Danio rerio: one gene and its partner. The protein of the gene in region 1 purifies or fractionates together with the protein of each later gene. This does not show direct contact. Links are inferred from orthologs where the notes say so. Each region holds a gene or a part of one and is shown on either strand. Other genes may lie near its edges.

The links.
Region 2: the proteins of xrn2 (region 1) and cdkn2aipnl purify together in Homo sapiens (co-immunoprecipitation; 6 studies listed by BioGRID and IntAct, with this or other methods). This does not show direct contact. The link is inferred for Danio rerio from reciprocal best matches to the Homo sapiens genes XRN2 and CDKN2AIPNL.

What each region holds. Positions count from the first base shown.
Region 1 is NC_133195.1:51,911,605-51,922,362, forward strand, and holds the end of xrn2 (5'-3' exoribonuclease 2), read right to left. Parts: intron 7,342-10,758; coding exon 7,230-7,341; intron 4,593-7,229; coding exon 4,530-4,592; 3' UTR 3,536-4,529; downstream 1-3,535. UniProt on the Homo sapiens protein: Possesses 5'->3' exoribonuclease activity. May promote the termination of transcription by RNA polymerase II.
Region 2 is NC_133196.1:49,531,949-49,543,447, forward strand, and holds cdkn2aipnl (CDKN2AIP N-terminal-like protein), read right to left. Parts: upstream 6,651-11,499; 5' UTR 6,623-6,650; coding exon 6,411-6,622; intron 3,875-6,410; coding exon 3,769-3,874; intron 2,259-3,768; coding exon 2,250-2,258; 3' UTR 1,724-2,249; downstream 1-1,723.

The DNA of each region.
Region 1 (10,758 bases):
AACTCATTTTAAATAAGTCGATTGAGCAGTCAAAGTCTTTTGAGTGCACCTCAAACCGAACTGTATAGTATTCCTTAAAATCAGAGCGGATTAATAGTTGGATGACAATGATTGTTCATAACCATATCTGTGAGCCTATATTAGTGTAAAGAAATGCTGTGTTCCGCACACATCATTCATGTTGTCCCATGTTAAGTCCACTTAAAAAACGATGTCGTTTAATTGTTTTCAACACATTTTCATTACGTTGAGCAAGCAGTAAAATTATTTTTAGTGTACATATAACTGTAAATTATTCCCTAAAAACAGAACGATAACTGGATAACTGTGAGCCTATAGACCATTTTGAGGTAGCCTAGGTAAACATAAACAATGGTCTCACGTCCTGTTGGTTTTACATTTTTAATTTCTATAGCTTCCGAGAATGCAAACGAGACACACATTGATGTTATGATAGCTGTTTTAACATTAAGCTATGATTGAAATCCCTCGTTACAGTTATGGAATAGTTTGATAAGCAGGAAATGTTGCACTGAAAATAAAATGACATTTGTTGCTTGTTTAAACTAATTTAAAATAAGTTGAAACACAATTATTTTGGGGTTTTTTTGGAGAAGACTTGATCGTTTTTACATATTTAAGTGGATTGAATATAAAATAATTAAGTTAACGTAATTTATTTGTGTTGGGACAACATGAAGTAACCGTGTGGAACCAAGCATTTTTAGTGTGTAAAAAAAGGCTTGGTTCCGCACAATTCATTCATGTTGTCCCAACTCAAATCGATTAAGTTAATTTAAAAAAAAAACGTTAAGTGGACTTAACATAAAACATTTTAGTGTAATTAATTGTGTTTCAACTAATTTTAAATAAGTTTAAGCAAACAGTAAAAAAAGTCATTTTGAGTGTGCCTCTAACTGTAAATTATTCCCTAAATGTAGAGTGAATTAATAGTTTGACGGCAATAAATGTTCATAACCCTAACTGCAAGCCTATAGACTATGATAAGGTCCACACATCAATGGTCCCAACGTCCTGTTTTACATTTTTAATTTCTGTCGCTTCAGAGAATCCAAACGAGACACACATTGAAAATGTTATGATAGCTGTTTTAACATTAATCTATGGTTGAATTGCCTCGTTACAATTAAGAAATAGTTTGATAAGAAGCAGGAAATGTTCATAGGCTAATGCTACACCACATTGAAATGGTCTATATTAGTGTAAAGAAATGCTGGTTTCCGCACAATTCCTTCATGTTGTCCCAACACAAATCGATTAATTTAGGCCTGACTTTTAACGTTTTTACCAATGCATGTGAATTGAACAAAATTGTCTCCCCACAAACAACACAGAAGCATTGTGTTGTTGCAACTCATTTTATGCAAGTAGTTCGATAAAGCAGCAAAATACAACTACGTGTAGCAAACTGTAAAAGCATCCATTTAATCTGATTGACTGAATACGATGTTTCAGGATCAACCTTAAATGTTAATCCAGGAACGTCCTACTTGGTGAAATCACACCAACTAAAACCCTTCACGCGCATGAGTGTGTGTGTTTGAGCGAGGGGATGTGTGATGAAGACTAGTCTAGTGTGATGCCATTAATCAGACATCTTTTCCTGATGCTTTGTAAAATAATAATAATAAATCATAATAAAAAAGATGTAGGCCTAGATGAAGAAATGTTTTGTGTAAATATTTAACACTGCACAAAGAATGCTTTCCTGGAGTTTTTTTTTTTTGTAAGTTTAATGACAAACAATAAATATGAGTGCTGCAAATGCGAAAAAACAGCTGTTTTGTTCGACACAGTGTGACGGAGCAAACAAGCGGCAGTTATATTCATCATTCTTTGAATTATTGGTCTATTAGAAATTATTATTAATATAATTAGTGCAAATACTGCCAGCAAGGGGCGTAGCGGATATTTTAAAGTGGTGGGAGGGGCAGTTGTATGAGATCCAAAAGTTTACGTTCATTTATTATTTATTACCCGTTTCTACATGGTTTTTCTCTAAAATGGAGGGGACTGATAGGCCTCTGTTCATAGTTAATTCAGTACTTACACACTGTAAAAAATCATGGTTGTCTTAAATTAAGCTGAATTAAATTAAACCGTATGAGTCCATTGAACTTGTTAAACTGACTTAAAACAGCTTGCGCAACTTACACAATTAAGAACATGATTAACTAAGTTTAAAAAGTTACAATGAGCTAAAACATATGCTGTCAGGAATTATTTATCATATTTCTTCTCTTTTTTTGCAGTGTAGTTAGAGTAAAAATACCAAGGGCTCAGATTCGCTCTCGTCATTGGTAGGGACGGACACACATCCCTAAAGCGCATGAACAGCACACATTCTGTTTCGAGCTTTTAAAAACACGAATAACATACTTAAAAATATAAATAAACACTTAATACAAATAACAATCCCGTCCCATGCTGCAGAAGTCAAGTTACATGATTTTACTGCAGTAGGGCCTTGAGGAGGTGTGAACAGAGAAATTTAGAGAGGTGTGTGATGCAGAACTGCTTTATCTTGATTATTGCTTTTCTTAATCATGGAGGCCAAAATCGAAACTGAATTTTAATTAATTGCACTGCCTTGGTTAATAGTACTACGGTGAACTAGCAGCAAACTTGACTTGGTGCACGTGTAGGTTAAGAGTTGAAGGAGCATCAGACTACTTTGAAGTTGATTAAATTATTGGTAGGGATATTTCAGTAATTGTTAGATATTATGGGGGACATGTCCCCTCCGTCTCAAATTCTACACCCTTTACAATATACTTTAATATACAGTTACAACTTCCAGTTATTAGCAAGGGTGTAGAATTGGCATGGACGAAGGGCACGTGTACCTACGAATATCAAACAATTACTGAAATGTCCCTATAATTTAATCGACTTTAAAATAAAGTAATGCTCCTTCAACTCCTAACCTACACGTGCACCAAGGTCGCTGCTGGTTCATCTTAATACTATCAACCAAGGCAGTGCAATTAATTAAAATTCTGTTTGATTATGGCCTATGTGCCTATGAAAAACAATCGAGATAAAACAGCGAAACTGCATCACACACCTCTCTAAATTTCTCTACATTCATTCCTCCGCTCGGACTGCAGTAAAATCATGTAAATTGACTTTTACAGCATGGGACACGATTGTTAATTTTATTAAGTGTTTATTTTATATCATTAAGTACTTTAGTAATATTTTAAAAGGGCGAAACAGAATTTGTGCTGTTCAATGCATGTCCTCTAGGGATGTATATCCCCACCAATGTCAAGAGCGAATCTACACCCTTGGTTATTAGAATCCAGACCGAAGGGAATTTTAAGGCATTAAAAGCTGTTGTTAAATAGTTTAAATAACGTAATTAAGATTGTAAAATAGGTCAGCAATTCAGTTTAGGGACTCAAATATCCACGTTTGTCTGTTCCATAGCAAAGATATCTAGCTTATTACGTCTCCGTTTGAGCGAAACAAATATTTCGCGGCAGTTTCAACCAAAAATAAGTGACTCGGATTTTTTTAAACGTTCTTAAAATGTGTTTTAATCAAACATTTAATCAGGAAATCAAAGTTTGTTTCACAATTTACGAAACTAAAACAAAGAAGTCTTAAGGAAGCTTCAGCAAAAGTCTTAAACCTTGAGAAATGTCAACTTTTTGCCCCGCTAAATCTACATTTAACAACAACATAATAACATAAGGAAAAAATGTCAACAAAATATTAGCCTAATAGAGAATGTGTTGTGAATTAAAGTTGTTTTTGCATCGTTTAATCCAATTTTAATGTAAGGCATGGAAACAATTAAAATAAATGGGCATTAAAGCCTAAAATACAAAAACTTTAACGAGTAGCAATAAAAAAAAATGAAATGCGCATTTAGATTTGACCTAAAATGTATATCATCATTGAAATCAAACTGTAAATTATATATACACATTTCAAAATGTTAATAAACTCAAAAGTGTAGCTCTACTTAAACAGGAGCAGATTTACTCATGATATTCACACGTGCCAGCCATATCTATTACTATTATTGTTTAACCAATTAATTAATTCAAGACTCCTTTAAACACTCTCATTGTTGTTGATCTGCATCTATAATCACCAAGAGATAAGCTATGAATATTCATTTAAAGATTAACACACTACACAAACTGACACAGTAACGAATTAGGAGTTTTTATAAACTGATCTGCATCAAAATTGAGAATCAAATGAAAACCTAAAATATGCGCACACACACACACACACACACACACACACACACACACACACACACACACACACACACACACGAAATAAAATAAAAATCTCAAAATCAGGCTTGTCTCATGTGTATTTCATAAGCTTTACAGCATATTCTTAAAAGTTAATACATAAGAACATTTGATCAGTAAAACAATGAGAGAAAAAAAAAAAAAGTTTACAAATCAACAGGCCAAAAAAAGGAGACAATGTTTGCTTGGAATAGAAAATAAGTTGCATTTTTTTTCCTTATCAGACTGAGCTTAGTTCCAGTTGTATCTTCGTGAGGCTGGAGGCAATCCATACCCACGTCCAGAATTGAAGCCCTAAGACACAAAAAAAGAGGTGTTTTAGAAACAAATTAAAAACTTAACACCTTTTTAAGACCATGAAGAATAACATTTCAGACTTAAACAGGGCTAAACGCTAAGGATTTCCTTTTAATGGCCTAGCAGAAATAAAAACGCACTTGCCCCATCAAAAACAAGCAATTTCTTAGCCGCATACTTTAAATTATTTGTCAAAACAAGCAGACCCTATAGCTCACAGGTGTCAAACTCTGTTCCTGGAGGGCTGCTGCTCAGCACAGTTTAGTTCCAACGCTAATTAAACACACCTGATCAAACTAATCAAGCACTTTAGGATATGAAATATATTAGCGCTCAGCATATTAAGCCTATACAACCACATGTTTAGGGGTAAAGTTTGACTTAAATTTGACAATCAGATTAGAGCGGTAGTTAAATCCAGCATTGTTCAATTAAAACAACAAGCAACAATAAAGCAATATACACCAAAACAGCAGCTTAAAGCCTGGTTTATACTTCTGCGTCGAGAGATTGGTGTGACCCACGGCGCATGTCTTGCGCGTAGCCGTGCATTTATACTTCCGCCGGTTTCCGCCTCTGAATAAACAAGTTTGAGCCACTTGTACGTTATGGTAGCGTTCAGTAAAAACAAAACACCAGCGAAGAAACAACACAGAGGAACATAAAAACCTACTGCAAGCAAGAGATTCAGAAGTGTTACTGCAGAGGAACACAAACAGCACGCAGAAGTATAAATGCATGGCTACTCGGAAGACAGGCGCTGTGGTTCACGCAGATTACTCAATGCAGAAGTATAAACTAGGCTTCAGTTTACTTTAAAAAGTGAGTAAACCCCTCGCCTTAAAAGCAACAAGTTGATTCAACTTAGTAAGTACAACAATTGACTTAACTTTTATGATTATGCAGGGCTGAAATACAACATTGCAACATTGTGGTATGAATACAATTTCACCAGATTGCATGGGATTGTTCTGTATGGGAGAGCATCTGCATACAATCTACAAGCACACATTAATACAATAAAGAAAAACACAATTCAACTGAACAGTTTCGTCGTTTTACTAGTCTAACAGTATTCAGGTACAGTAATAAAGTTCTAAAAATAAAATTAATTCAACAAAATGCAAAGTCAACATTGCATATCCTATGATGTGACTATTGTGAACGGTCATATTGCGATATCGATGCTGAATCGATAAAAGTCAACTAATCACTTTTTACAGTTGAATGACAGATAAAAAAAATGTAGTCAACCCATAATAGCCTGGCATGTTGATTTAAGTTGATTTAACTCAGGCCTAATCGCAATTCTATTTATTCCTTCCCCTTAGTCCTCGAAACAGGGGTAAAATTTTAAGTCCTTCACACTCTAAGAACTGGGACAGCTCTACAGCACCTGGTCACGTAATCATGATCTCTAGCTACACATGAGATCAGACGATGGCGACTGCTGTAGTTATTCCAGTTGTGCTATTTTTTGGTATTAATCTTCAGGAAATCACTGACGGCGTATATTTTGTTATCATAACAACATAATGCGGCAATAAGATCGTAACTGTACTGTGCATTTACACCATGACCATATTCATCTATTTGCACACAAAAACAACATTAACATTATAGCGGACACTGTACAAAGCTCATTCCCAGCCACTAGACTTTTCTGACATGGTATTCGAGCCTCAGAGTGACTGTGGAACTGTCATACAGGATTACTATTAGAGATTACAGATAGCAAAATTTATTTAAGCAGTGTTTAAAAAGCATGATGGCAAAACATGAACGTGGTTATGAATATATTAAAACATGTGCTTGTTTTTTGTAAAAATTCATGACAAAAAAACACTAATATGTGCATCTCCTGACTTCCATGTGCAGCGATGCTGCTGTTGTAGATGGTGTATTCTGGGAAATTTTCAAGTGTGGTTCTGGAAAATCTCAGTTTCAAGGGCTATCTAGCCTTTTCCCTTAGCTCTAGCTAAAGATAATTGGGTAAGGGGAAGGGCTAAGGGGTAGAACGGGGTAAGGTCTCAACAAAAGAAAATCACTGGGCTCCACTTTTTATAAAATAAACTAGCAGAGTCCCTGATGGAGTATTTCATTTTTTCTAAATGAGAAAAAAAAAAAAAAAAAAAAACCAGGACTGATTTAAAGGAGCACACAAGGGTTTTCAATTTAGCAATATTTGCCATCTAGCTAGTAATGAGGCCAAAGCGATAACGTCAATATGATGCTTATATCAGTAGGAGGTGAAACAAAGATTGCAATTATTGGGCAGGGTTTTACAGAAATGTTAAGAGCAACAAAGTGACTTTAATTAACATTTTTAGTGGATTAAAATGATGACGTATATATAGAGAAGTCTGTAAAATAACAGAAAATGCACTGTCACTTTATTACAATGTGTTTGTAGCGTGATATACAACACCAACCCAGACAATATAGCACATTAAACAATTAACCATGCTAATGAAAGTCACTTTTATGAACCTCTCAATGGTACAAGTGGTTGAAAGAAAGATTAAGGTCCCATAATGCAAAAGCATAAACAAATGTGGAAGAGTAAAAACACGAATCAGAAAATATGGAAAACTGCTAATTTAGGGATATGTTTTGTGAGTAAGGGGCTCAGACCTGCTGGTTTTGTTGGGGTCTCCAGTCTCCTCGTCCCCTCTGCTGGTTCTGCTGGTATGAAGAGCCCTGGTTCTGCATGGCTCGATCCCAACCATGAGATCCCTGCTGGAACCTGCACAAAACACACATGAAGGCAATGAAGGAAAAAAACAGACAACTTTGTGACTAATAGACCACACTTGGTAAAAAAAAATAATAATAATAATAAAAATAATAATAATTTACAATATAAATATAATAAAGGTTAAATATTTAATGTAAAAATAAAATATATCATTATATAAGATCTGTAATTTATAAAATATAATATACATTTTATATATTATTGAAACCCTAATTTAAAAATAACTTTCCATGACTAAAAGATGATACTTGGTTTAAAAAAAATAAAATAAAAATAAATAATAATAATAATAATCGTAATTGTAATATAGGCTAAATGTATCATCTAAAAAATATATTATTATATAAGATCTATATTTTATAAAATATAATATAGATTTTATATATGAAACCCTTATTGAAAAATAACTTTTCATGATTAACAAGACACTCGGTAAAATATATATATATATATATATATATATATATATATATATATATATATATATATATATATATATATATATATATATATATATATATATATATATATATATATTTTCTTTTTTTTTTTTTCCCCCACAATTTCTGTTTAATGAAGAGAAGATTTTTCAACACATTTTTAAACATAATAGTTTTAATACCTCACTTCTAAAAACCGATTTATTTGATCTTTGTCTTGATGACAGTAAATAATATTTGACTAGATGTTTTTCAAGACACTTCTATACAGCTTAAAGTGACATTTAAAGGCTTAACTAGGTTAACTAGGTAGGTTAGGCTAATTAGGCAAGTTATTGTATAACGATGGTTTGTTCTGTAAACTACTGAAAAAAAATTGCTTAAGGGGCTACTAATATTTGACCTCAATGTTTAAAAAAAAAATTAATAACTGCTTTTATTCCAGACAAAATTTCTCCAGAAGAAAAATCATTGACAGTGAAAATTTCCTTGCTCTGATAAACATCATTTTAGAAATATTTAAAAAGGAAAAGAAAAAAAAAATCAATTGGGGGCTAATTCTGACTTCAACCATGATGTACCCCATTTATTCACAAGGTATTTAAAATATCTAAATATGTCACAGTAATGTTAATACGATCACTCAAACCTTTATATGCTTTAATAAGCTTGAGCCAGACGTTTATTTTTACATTAATATCTGTTATGTTCGGTGAGGGAATATTTTATATTATCATTTTATTTTGACAATTTCTTGACAGATTAAGACTTCACTTGCATTTAATTTGCTTTTTGTGTATCTAAAATCATTTTGGCAAATTAAATGTGTTGACAAATTAAGTGCCTTTCACTTATATGCCAATATAAATCAAAAGCTAAATTGATTAAATATACAACATTTCATGGCTTTATTCTAATTAATGGGTCTAATTAAGGTTAAGCATCTAAAGTTGTAAGATTAATTTATTTTAAAATAAATAAATCTATTCTAAAAGGTTACATTTCTTTTTTAAGGGTAAAGATATTTACAATATTACAAATGATTTTCTTGTTAATGCTGTTATTTTGAACTTTTTAAATTTAAGAAATCTTACAAATACAAATTAAAGATTCCACAAAAATATTCAGCAGCACAACAGTTTTCAAAATTGATAAAAAAACAGAAATGTTTGCTAAACCACTCTTGAGAAAACTTGGAGAAAAACTACAGCACTACAGGAATAAATTCCCCTTTAAAAAATATTAAAATAAGTTAATTTAAACTGCAATAATTTCAAAATATTCAGACAAATTAAACGCAACATTATTTTTCTAGATAGTTACAGTCACTTCCACAAATCTCATTTAAAGCTTAAAGAATCACATTTTAAAATCAATCATGGATATTTTCCAGTTTCCTAAGACTTCAGTAATCTCTAATCTTACACCGAATGCTTGGAAAGAAACCCCAAAAAGCTGAATCGCAGCAGCACAAAGAGCGAGAGTTCAGCTGAAGACACTTGAGCAGCATTCAGAAGCACAATTCACCCTTTCACTTCCACAACACTCGCCTGAACCATAACCTCATCTCACCTCGTCAAAACATAATCTTATGTCTTATAATCTTAAAATCAAAACATAACATAAACTTATTGCCATTCCATGGCAAGATCAATAGATAAAACAAATTACATAATAATTACAAGCTTATAGCTCAATAAGAGATGAAAAATAAATAGTAAATATACAATAAATAAATGAAAATACAAATAAATCTATGAAAATAAATTAAAATAAATAAATAAAAACTAAATAAACTAACAAATAAAACAAAAATAAATGAACAGATAAGATTTTCCCCATCCTTAAAAATTAATTAATAATAATTAAAAAAAAAACATTAGATTAGATTTTCCAAATAAGTAAATGATAACCATCTTTTCTAGTACTCTTAAAATTTCCCATTCTTATAAAATCTGTTTTATAGTGAGCAAAGCTTGACAGTGATTAAGCACTAATGGTACATAAACCATCATCTGTATATATTTTAGTTTTTTGCCACATCAGCAACTTATGGCTTTTCATTTCATGGCAAGACCAATATAGATCAAAAAAAAAAAAAAAACATATACAATATTAATAAGAGCTGACAAATAAATAAGTAAAGCAAAATTAACAAGATTAAAAATAAAAACATATGAATATAAAAAAATAAAATAAATGCATAAAAATATAGCAATACATAAATATATAATAAAAATAAATCACAAAATTTAAAATACAAAAATAAATATAAACTAAATAAAAAGTACATAAAGTATAGAAAAATATATAAAAGATAAGATTTTCAAATTCAGGAAATATAATTAAAATATATAATAAACAAACAAAAAAATAAATACGTAAAAATAAATAAATAGCAATATATAAAGCTAGCATCATTAAATTAAAACAAAATTATACATGTAAAAAAATAAACAAATAAATGTAAAATAAAGACATTAGATAATATTTTCCTATTCAGTAAATATAATAAATAATATATAATGAACATGAAAAATGTATAAAAAAAATAAAAACAAAAATAAATAAATAGCAATATATAACAATTAAAACAATCAAATCTAAATCAAACATTTAAACAAACATAAAACAAAAACGTTTAATTAAAGACATTAGATAAGATTTTCCCATTCAGTTTATATATAGTAAATAATTAATATATAGTAAGTCTACCCAGGGAGACATTTTTAAAATAAAAAAACAGTCAAGTCTTTAAAATTTCATATCAATAAAATATTTTATAGCAAGGCTTAAATAAGACATCATAACATAAAATAACATAATATGATATAAATAAGTTAAAATAAATAATTATATAAAATACAAATAAATACATTTAAACAAATAAAAAATAATTAATAAAAAATTTATAAATAAAATAACCAAATAAATATAAATAAACAAACATAAAAGACATTAGATA
Region 2 (11,499 bases), on another chromosome or scaffold:
CATTGTTTATTTATTTATTATGCAGCAGGTTTAACTATTAACATGATAAAAAGAAGCAAAACAAAAGCAGAAATTGGGATTATTTGTATATAAAGCATTGACTGTTATTGGTATTAGATGTACAGTTGAAGTCAGAATTATTAGCCCCCCTGAATTATTAGACCGCTTGTTTTTTCCCCCAATTTCTGTTTAACGGAGAGATTTTTTACAACTCATTTCTAATCATAATAGTGTTAATAACTCATCTCTAATAAGTGATTTATTTTCTTTGTCATGATGACAGTAAATAATATTAGACTAGATATTCTTCAAGACACTAGTGTTCAGCTTAAAGTGACATGTAAAGGCTTCACTAGGGTAATTAGGGTAAAGTTAGGGTAATTAGGCAAGTCATTGTATAATGATGGTTTGTTCTGTAGACTATCGAGAAAAATATAGCTTAAAGGGGCTAATAATATTGACAATAAAATGGTGTTTAAAAAATTAAAAACTGCTTTTATTCTAGCTGAAATTAAGCGAATAAGACTTTTCCCTAAAGAAAAAATATTATCAGACATACTGTGAACATTTCCTGAATCTGTTCAACATCATCTGGAAAACATTTTAAAAAGAAGAAAAAATTCAAAGGGGGCGAATAATTCTGACTTCAGCTGTACGTCTCTAAACCCTGGATGTGTTTTGAGTTTAATAATAAACCATTGCAATTATAATTTAATAATTAAGTTTGTAGAAAACAATTCATGCAGTGTGTATATAAAGTAAAATAAAGGGAATAATTAAAAAAGGAGAGAAAATTGCAGAATAGGAAGAAAATAAGAATAAAGGTGAAAGATCACAGAAGAAATGTTTATATGTAATAGACACAGTACAGATTATTTATTAATAATTCACTCACTATAAATAATATAAAGGGAATAATTCAAAAGGAGAGATAAAATAAGAATAAAGGAGAAAAAGAGGAGAAACATATACATAATAATTAAACAGATAGAGGAAAGATTATGGAGAGGAAAGGGGAAGATATTTTGAAAAGAAGAGATTTAAAGATATGCTGAAAACCCAGCCTGATCTCACGAGAAAACGCAAGTATTTTTACGTTTTGTCTGTTTAGTGGCTAAATCGTACAAATTCCTGAGTTCAGTCGTACGATAATGTACGATTTTAAAAAGGAGGCGTGGCACCTAACCCCACCCCTTAACCCAAACGTTATTGGGGGATGAGCAGGTCGTACTAAATTGTACGAATTAGATTATACGAATTAGCCACTAAATCAAAAAGTTACGAATTGCCGTGAGATTGTGTTGGAAAACCTGTAACCATTGACTTTTATACTTAGAAAAACAAATGCTATGGAAATCAAGTTACAGGTTTCCAACATTCTTCAAAATATCTTAATTTATATTCAACAGAAGAAACTGATTGAAGTAAAAAGTGAGTAAATGATGACAGCTCCAATTTCAGTGTGAACTAACCCTTTAACACAAGTGAAAACAGCCGCTCCTGATGATGATGATCCCGTCTGCTCTGGGAATCTTCCTCTTTTTCTAATAATCTGTATTTGCCGATATTCTTCTGCTCGGTGTGTTTAAGTAAAGGGCCATACTGTGGTGTTGAGGGATCTTTCCAGAGTTACTTTTTGTGAATTTATCATAAGAGAAGACATTTATACTTCTAATATGCTGTATACAAAACAAATATAATAAAACATTTTGCAGACACGGAGTGGAGAGAACGGAGGCTTTATTGACACTCATGAGCTCAAATACATGCTAAAAACTAAATAATCAATCTATCTGAGAACACAGATGAGAGAAGGTGAATACACGACATAAAAAACAGGCCAGTTATAATAATGAATAGCCAGTCATCATCACAGCAGTCCACTTCGAGATCATATTCAGCAGGAAAAGCTGCAGTATTATCATCAGAAGAGTGTTTCCATTGCACAACTTCTGAATCCGCTTTATTGCATTAAAAACACATCGGTGGAGTTTATTAAAGCATCATCTGCATAGGCTACAGCAGATGCAACCAGATAAGGACATCAGCTGTACATTAGGCAAGTCAATGCAATAAATGCATTTGGGGCACAAGAACTGCAGCGCATTAACATGACTTATACTGATCATTTCAGTTACAGTAAATAAAAACAACAACAACACGGTATAAAACTGCTCCTCATATGTACAGTAGATGAGTGATGCTGATGATCTCCCTGCTCCTCATGTAGACGTGCAGTCGCTCAGGCATCACCGCTGCTGCACACACACACACACACACACGCACACACAGACAGACAGACAAAACATTAGTTATGAATACAGTTCAATGGTTCTGTTTCCCCAATGCATCATTTCATAAACAGTACGGCATGCTTGTGTGTATGGAGCGACACCTCTAGAGCGGTTTGCTTGGTGTATATATGCAGGGTTTATACACACTTTTACTATAAAAATTCCAGGACTTTTCCAGCTCTGGGGCCTCATGTATCAACGCTGCGTACGCACAAAAACTTTGCGTACGCCAGGTTTCACGCTCAGAATCGCTCACGTTTGGATTTACTAACGATGAACTGAACGTGGGAATGTGCGCAGCTCCACGCCAGCTTCATGGCTGGTGTACGCACATTTTTTGTGTGTGTCTGTTTTATTTCCATTGGCGACTCCTAGAGGCGGTTGTGTTAAATTGCACACTACAAATGTCTTCTCTGCTGTATGAGACGAGTTCATCCGCATGTCTAGTATATAAGGTTTCCGTACCATACAGTTGACCATCCAAACTTTCTCATGATAAAGAGTATATAGGCGAAATCTGACATGTAGCGGGGAAAATGGAGAGTAAGTTCATCAGCCGCTGGACTCGAACCGAGTTCATGCTTGAACGTGTCAAAACATGTTGCCATGGGTTTACCGAGCTGCGCAACTTAGGATGTTAAAGATAATCCAAAATTTTACACCTATAGATCGCACTATTTCTCTTTTAATCCACTCAGTGCGATGTTCAGACCCAACTGTGTATAAAAAAACTCTCCCACTCAATTTTTCTTTTGTTGTTAATTCCAGAGGACAAACTTGCAAATAACACAGTTTTTCTCCGGTCTACCTCCGAAAGCAGCACCTTCAATTCACATTCTGTTCAAAGTTTCTCTTCTTGTGTGCTTTTGCCGTTGCTTTTTCGTTGGGTTTTCCCAAAGTAGAGTCATTTGCATATCCATACGTGGGCGGAGGAAGGGAGGGGTTTTGTGCTCGTGCATGTTGCACTCAGTTTCACGTTCATTCAGATGTACAAAAGAATATGTGTGAGATTCGGCGTACGCAGTGTTTCATACATCTGAATTATTTTCTGCGTACGCACATTTACAGCTGTGAGTGTACGCAATGTTCTTACATAATTTCCACGCAAGTCTTCATACATGAGGCCTCTGATGTTTGATGTATTGTCTACATATACATGATAAATCATAAGAAACGTTTACATTTATTACAGCATATTATAAAACACGCACACGTTTCAATGCGTTTTTATAACTGTCAAATTACAGTTAATATCTTTTCAGTTTTGATCCGACACTCACTGCATTTTAGCAGGAATGAGAAGCTAAGATACAGAACATTGAGCTGAAGCTTGAACACACAATTAGATCGCAGCTTGAAATGGCAGTATCTGTCTAATAAATACATTAATTAAATTGCAATTAGACGTTTTCCCCAAATCGCACAGGCCTGCCGCTGATGTTAGCAGTGCTGGTGTTCAGGTGTAGATTCTGACCTTCTGCTGTCTGATGATCTCATCTCTGGTCTTGAAGACTGGAGCGTCCTCCACCTCGATGCCCTCCGCCATCTCCATCACCCTCTGCAGCAGCTCTGAGCTGTATCTGCACAAACACAGCGCCACTTACACACTACACACCAGCTTTAGTCAATGCTCAGGTAAAAAAACTGATGAAAAGGCTGACACTGAATGATTACAGCTGTATAATTCTGCTCCATGAAACAGGTAATGCCCAGAATGTGGTTTATTTGCACTGTTCTGAACACATTCACTGGCCATACATTCAGCTGAACAGCCAGCCTACTGCATCCCTGAGCTTTCTACATTAACACTTTAACATTATAGTGCATTAATAAACAATATAATAGCATTTAACAATGCCACATTTCCTTATGTTATTTCATAAGCAGTTCTGAGAGCAGTACTCTTACTCTTGAGTTGATCCTTCTGGAAAAACCTCTGTAACCCGCAATATCTGTGCTTCCTCTGAGGTCAAAGTATTGATCAGTCAGATGCTTTTCACTGCTTTCTGCTACATGTATAACATCATCTGAGCATTGTTTATAAGACATGAATGGTGTTATAATGCCTCTATTCATACAATAACGCATTATATTTGAGGTGAAGTTGGTTTCACATTCACACATTCAGACTTTGGTGTTCAATAAACAGTAAAGCAGTACAGGTTCATTATTATAGTGGTGTACTGTTATGAGCACAACTTGTGACGCTCTCTCTATATTATTCACAGCTGCTTTATTTAATATTAATAATGCATTTTATTTAATGGCGCCTTTCATGACACTCAAGGCCCTGTACAGGACAGCTAAAACAATCAATTCAAATAAAAACAATAGACTACAACACAAGCTTTAAAATGCAGTCGGGTCTGAGAGAGTAGGCTGTTCTGAACAGATGTGTTTGGAGTTTAAATTATGAAAGAGAGTCTAAACTACGGAGATCAGGAGGGAGTGAAAGCTGAGGAGCAGAGCGGCTGAAGGATCTGCTCCCCATGGTGACAAGGCGGACAGAGGAACAGTGAGGTGAATGGAAGAAGAAGACCTGAGTGTTGGAGAAGCTGTGGCCATATGAACAAGACTAGCACGCTATGGAGGAGCGAGACTGTGGACGGCTTTAAAGGTGAGAAGAAGTGTTTCATAAAGAGCCGGGAAGCCAGTGAAGCTGTTGTAGAATGGGTGTGATGGGACAGGCAGAGGGGGTGTTTGTGATCATGCGGGCTGCAGCGTTTTGTACCAGATGTCATTTATGAAGAGTTTTTTTAGGGAGGTCAAACAGAAGGGAATTACAGTAATCTAAACGGGATGTGACTAAACTATGAACAGGAATGGCAGCTGAGTGAGGGGTGAGGGAAGGATGTAAACCATTTATATGTCGAAGGTGGAAATAGGCGGACCGGGTGACATTATTAACATGTGCATTGAATGAAAGGTGACCCCCAGACTCTGAACCTGAGGGGAGGAGGTCATGACAGAATCCTCTGTGGGAATGGGAAAACTGATTTATTTAAAGTGGATGGTGTTCCTATAAGGAGGAGTACAGTTTTAGTGTCATTTAATTTCAGGAAGTTTGTGGTGAGCTTTGTGTATACTGGCTCTGAAAGACTTTAAAACAACATCAGCACTATTGAACTGAATGCAATATTTTTTATTTTGCAAAATGAACACAATTTGACCAGATAAATCTCTATATATGGGAAGATAGAGGTAAAGTTGGTTTAATATTGAGATATTCAGACATCCTCCTTAATAGTATAATGTCAGAAAAGTATTCTTGGCAAATTCTAAATAGGGAAATCATATTATCAGCCAATGACTGTCAATGATAGAGGTGAAGTTGGTTTTATATTGGCACATTCATTCATTTAGCAGCCTCTACATTGCTTACCATGTTAACTTGAATATTGGATCATAATTAGCATGCCAGTATGACTGCTGAACAACATTAACACTGTCTAATTGACTGTGAACAATGCTATACTTTTATAATCATTGGCTGCTAATATGATTCAGCAGCTAATATGAAAAAATTACTAATACTTTCCTTCTTAGACTTTACAGACCTGAAACTTGCCTACAGCACTTCTTCATTGTTGCTCTTATTGTGTAAATTGCTTCCTTGTCCTCATTTGTAAGTCGCTTTGAATAAAAGCGTCTGCTAAATGACTGTAAATGTAAATGTAAATGATTTCCCTATTTAGAATTTGCCAAGAATACTTTTCTGACATTATTATTAAGGAGAATGTCTGAATATCTCAATATAAAACCAACTTTACCTCTATCTATCAAAGTACAGCATTGTTCACAGTCAGTTAGACAGTGTTAATGATGTTTACAAGTCACACTTGCATGCTAATTCCGATCCAATATTCAAAGTAGCATAATAAACAATACAGAGCCTGCTAAATGAGCGAATGTGCGAATATAAAACCACCTTTACCTGTATTGAAAGAGCAGATAGTGTGCAGTCCTGGAGTATACTGCATTAGTACTGCACTGTATTGAAGCTGTTCTGATCGGGTGATTCTGCTGTATGGTGTTGCTCTTTATGCTGTGTTAAAGCTGCTGGTTGTTTTAGCTCTACTAGTGTTGTTGTTGTTGTTGTTGTTGTGATGCTCATACCTGCAGCCCATGAACACGTGGTTCTGCCAGACCATGGAGAGCGCGAGCAGATGATCCACCTGCGGCTCCGGGAAGTCCGCCATGTTCCTGAAGATGAACTCCCGCCTGCCCTTCCAGTGTTTGTCGCTCTCCGAGAACCCGCGGAAAGCCTCAACCCGGTCAGCCAGCTGCCGGTTCTGACCGATAAACTCCTCCACATCCATGGACGCCATTGTTACGAGCGATGACGTCACTCCCCGGTGTTCTTTTTCCGGTCGCGACAGCGCGCTCTCAAAAGCGGTGTTGCTAGAAGCGATACAGCTGCGGTCGGAAGTGAACGAGAATTGTTGATGTTGTAACTGACCTGTATTTAATTAACGTCTACTCTAACTCTAGCAATAATGGAAAAATAGTCATTATACTGAGTATTATTCTTATTATTTATTAAGTTACCCATTCATATTTTGTTCATATTTTAATAACGTCTATTCCCTCACATTAATTTTGAAGAGGATTGTTTATATTAGTTATTAAATTACCAATTAACTGTAACTTATTAACATCTACCCCTTTCCTCACAGTAATGTAAAACTATTAATTATTGTTGATGTAAGTATCCGCAGCTGTATCCCTTCTAGACCTTATTAAAGGCACAGCGCCACCTTTAAACGGTTTACTTTGAACAGAATACATTTAAAAATGCTGTTTACTGTGTCCGATTCAGATACAATAAAAAACTCCCTTTACTTGTTTTAAACTTGTTTGAGTGTCTTTCTTCTGTTAAACACAAAAGAAGATATTTTAAAAAATGTTGGAAACCTGTAACCATTGACTCCACGGTGTTTCTATTTCCAATGTAAGTCAATGGTTACAGGTTTTCTTCGTTTGTGTTCAACAGAAGCAATTCATAAAGGTTTGTAGCCCCTTGAGTGAGAGTAGTGAGTAAATTTATTTCTTTATGTTTTGGTAAAGTAACCTTTTAAATTATTTTTCATTGATTTAGCTTTAAATTAAAAAATTAAATTATTTTATTACAATCTTTGATTTGCAATTTAGCAATTACAATTTAGTATTGTAATTTGACCACACACACATTTTATTTACTTATTTTACAAAGAAACAGCATATAATTAAATTATAAATAAATATATAACTAAATAATTAAATAGATTAAATAATTAAAGGACACTGTTCATCATTAAAAACCTCAAAATGTAACACATAAAAGTCGATGGCAACAATTTTCAATGGTGTTCTGGGAGGACTGTGTGTGTGTGTGTGTGTGTGTGTGGTGTGTGTGTGTACAGCCTCAGACATTTATTTAAGTACATTGTTATCTGTGTTGTGTTAGATTTATTGGACAAACAAAAAGTTTGTTTTTAGTTAGTTTTAAGTTGGACCTAACTGTTGAATCAGGTCTTCTTTGAGTGTTTGCTCAAGTTTTAGACCAGTCTGATGTTTATGAAAATATGCTTATGGATTATTCTTAGTTTTACTTCAGCATAAAGGTCACTGCAGTCGGTTTAAAATCTAAAAATGGGGCGACTTTAGGGATATCTGGTGGGTGATGAGGGAAATAAAATAACATTTTTATGAAAGTATCAGTGACACTATTGACTGTAGTACTCATTAGATCTGTGTGTGTGTGTGTGTGTGTGTGTGTGCGCGTGTGTGTGTGTTTGGTTGACACATTGAGGATGTTATAGGCTCAAACCTTCATTAAGTTATGTTTTATCTGCATTTTTTATTTTTGTTTGACATATTGTTCAAAAATGTCCTCAGGCAAGCTTGAGAATTAAAATTTCTCAGATATTTGAACTAGAAACAAGAGAAAACTCTGAGTAACTCTATAAGAAAATGTTTTTTGTAATGTAGAAACATTCACCATTAAACTTAAGATATGTAGGGAAACCCACAGGGCTCACTTCAAATAAGAGATAGCAAACAGAAAGACCATCAGTTCATCAATCAACACATACCCTGCAAAAACCCATATAGACTGGCAACTCTTTATTTCGCTTTTGGGATTCTAACAGTATTGATTAATCAGAAATAAATAAATGTGTATAAATGCAATAGTTAATGTCAGAATTATTCGCCCCCTAAGATTTTTTTCTTCCTTAAATATTTTTCAAATGATGTTGAACAGATTCAGGAAATGTTCACAGTATGTCTGATAATATTTGTTCTTTTGGAGAAAGTCTGATTTATTTTATTCCAGCGAGAATAAAAGCAGTTTTTAATTTTTTTTTTACATTTTAAGGACAAAATTATTAGCCTCTTTAAGATTTTTTTTGAACCATCGTTCTACAATGACTTGCCTAATTACCCTAACCTGCCCAGTTACCCTATAGCGAAGCCTTTACATGTCACTTTAAGCTGAACACTAGTGTCTAGAAGAATATCTAGTCTAATATTATTTACTGTCATCATGACAGAGAGAAAATAAATCAGCTATAAGAGATGAGTTATTAACATCATTATGATTAGAAATGTGTTGGAGAAATCTGCTCTCCATTTATCAGAAATTGGGGGAAAAAATAAACAAGCGGTCTAATAATTCTGACTTCAACTGTGTATATAAATAAAACTTACTTAAATACAAAATGTGTAAAATGTCCACAAACCCAGAAAAAATTAAGCTGTAAAAATGGCCTTAAACTGGTGTATTTGAAGCATACTACAGTGAAGAGCTCGCATTTCTCAGTCATCAGTCTATAAAAACACAACTATGATCACATGAACAAATGACCCAATACTGTAGTTATCAGCAACTATAATAAACACCACAGGTTACTAGTCAATACTACAGTATGCTGGAGCATTCAATAGCAAAGTTGTAAATAATATAATATACACACTTTACTACAGTATGGTTCATAAACATCAGCGTTTACTATAACGTACTATAGTATTGTATTGACGTATACCTATAGTGTGCTAAATGTTGAAAGTTTACAAACCCAGGAAAACATATTAATCTGTAAAAGCAGAAGTCTAAAACATCCCAAATATCAAAAATAGCACACTACAGTAAAGCACTTGAGTTGATCTGCTGTAGTGGTTAACACAACTATAGTAAACACTGTAGTTTACTACAACTATAGGGTGGAGAATAGAAGGGATACAGCTGCAGATACACACATCAATATAGAATCTTCTCTGTGACACTGTACAATATTTCATAATTTTACATGACTGTGAGGATTGGGGTAGACTTTAAAAGTTACATTAACTGGGCAGTTTAATAATTTAATTCTCCTGATCTTTCAGCGATATCTGAATCTCATCTAGCAACAACCCAACTATAAACTACAATACACCAGTTTACTGCAGTAATCAGGTAACTAATACAGTATGCTGGAACATTCATTTAACAAAGGGTTGTAAATAATATTTAAACCATCCCTAATGTAAAAATAGACCAGTGTTTCATAGTTTAAAAACTATATTTTTGAACAGCTAAAGTGTTTGAACTAAACACTGTGATGATTCCTATCTAGTTGCTATGATAACTATAGTATTATAAACAAATGACCTAATACAGTAGTTTTCTCAGCAGCTGTAGTGTGGGTAAGGTGTAGTAAAACTATACAGTATACAGTAGTCTATCAGTTCACTATGCTACAGTATGCAGGAGCGTTCATTAACAGAGCTGTAATACTATAATATACACACTTTACTACAGTATGGTTCTAAAACACTGTAGATGGCCATATCTGGAGACGCTGATGGTGTGTGTGTGTGTGTGTGTGTGAGAGATCCGGAACAGCGCTGACAGTGAGGATGTTTGTTGTGTTTCCTCCTCTCGGCTGTTTGTTCATGGCTCCCCCCATCGGATTCACAGTAAAATGGTCGATTATTTTCGCGAACCGCCCCGCGCGCTCGCTTGAGGAGACTTTCTTCTTCACGCTCGCGTCTTGATGGACATTTTCAAACTTGACAGGTAAACGCAACGCGCTTTTTCGCCCGTTTCCCCCCGCTCGCCGTGCGTGACGCTCGCTCGCAACGCTCGGCTCCTGCGCCCGCTGCTAACGGAAATTTTTTGGTACGTCATTAATATGGCGCCAAAAGAGTTGTAAGTGTGAGCTGGTGTTTCGCGCAGGAATACACGCAGAATGTGAAGAGGAGCGCGCTTGTGTGTCGACAGCTTCACTTCGCAGGATGTGAGGACACCAGAAACAGTTTTGCGGATGACGAAGCGTGCTGTGCTGTTTTCTGAAGCGGCAGTTTTAGGACGGCTGTAATATGCCGTCGGCTCGGGCATCTCAGCCGCACACAGTAACTTTTATCGGGGCCGAGGAGGGTGCGTGGCCTCGGATGATCCTCTGATCTCTGCGAGGACACCATCATCATCTTCATCATCACCATCACACCCTCTCTCCGCAGAAGAGGTAAAGCCGAAAAAATGTGCCTTTTCTGCAGTTTTTGACCGTTGTTTCATGCTCATGTCGGTCGTTTGCTGCCTGAATTCTGTCTGCTTGTACGGGCTCGTTCGCGGTTTATTTGTTTGCTGAACTCTTCAGTCTGTGTGGAGTACTGCTGCTGCTGCTGCTCAACTTCTCAGCTTGGAGTGAGCGAGTGGCCTAAACGCGCTTCACAAACAAGCCCTGCAGGTCAGCGACCACGCCCCCTTCAGCTGCACACGGCGGCTTGACGTCACACACACGGGGCGTGGTCTAGAAAACGTGTAGTATTTTTTACATTATTATTATTATTATTATTATTATTTTTATTATTATTATTTTGTCTTTAAATGTTTGTGAGCCACACTGAAAACAAAACTAACCATAATTATTTTGTTAGCTCACATTGCTAGTCTTTGGGTGAACAATTCATCTGCATGTCATTAAGAAAAACATGTAATCTAAAATTGAAATATGCAAATGCACTACCTGTTTGTTTTCAGTTAAATTCTAAGATTAGGTCTGTTTGAGGTATCGGGCGGGGCTTGCATACTTAACCACGCCCCCAGCGGTCAGTTTTGGCAACGGAAATGGTGAGGAGGAGGAGTCTGTTAGGTTGTAATAACTCTCCCCAAATCCTTTACTACAGCCAATCAGGTCGCAGTATAAAAATCAAGCCACGCCCACTATTTTCTCATTTAATA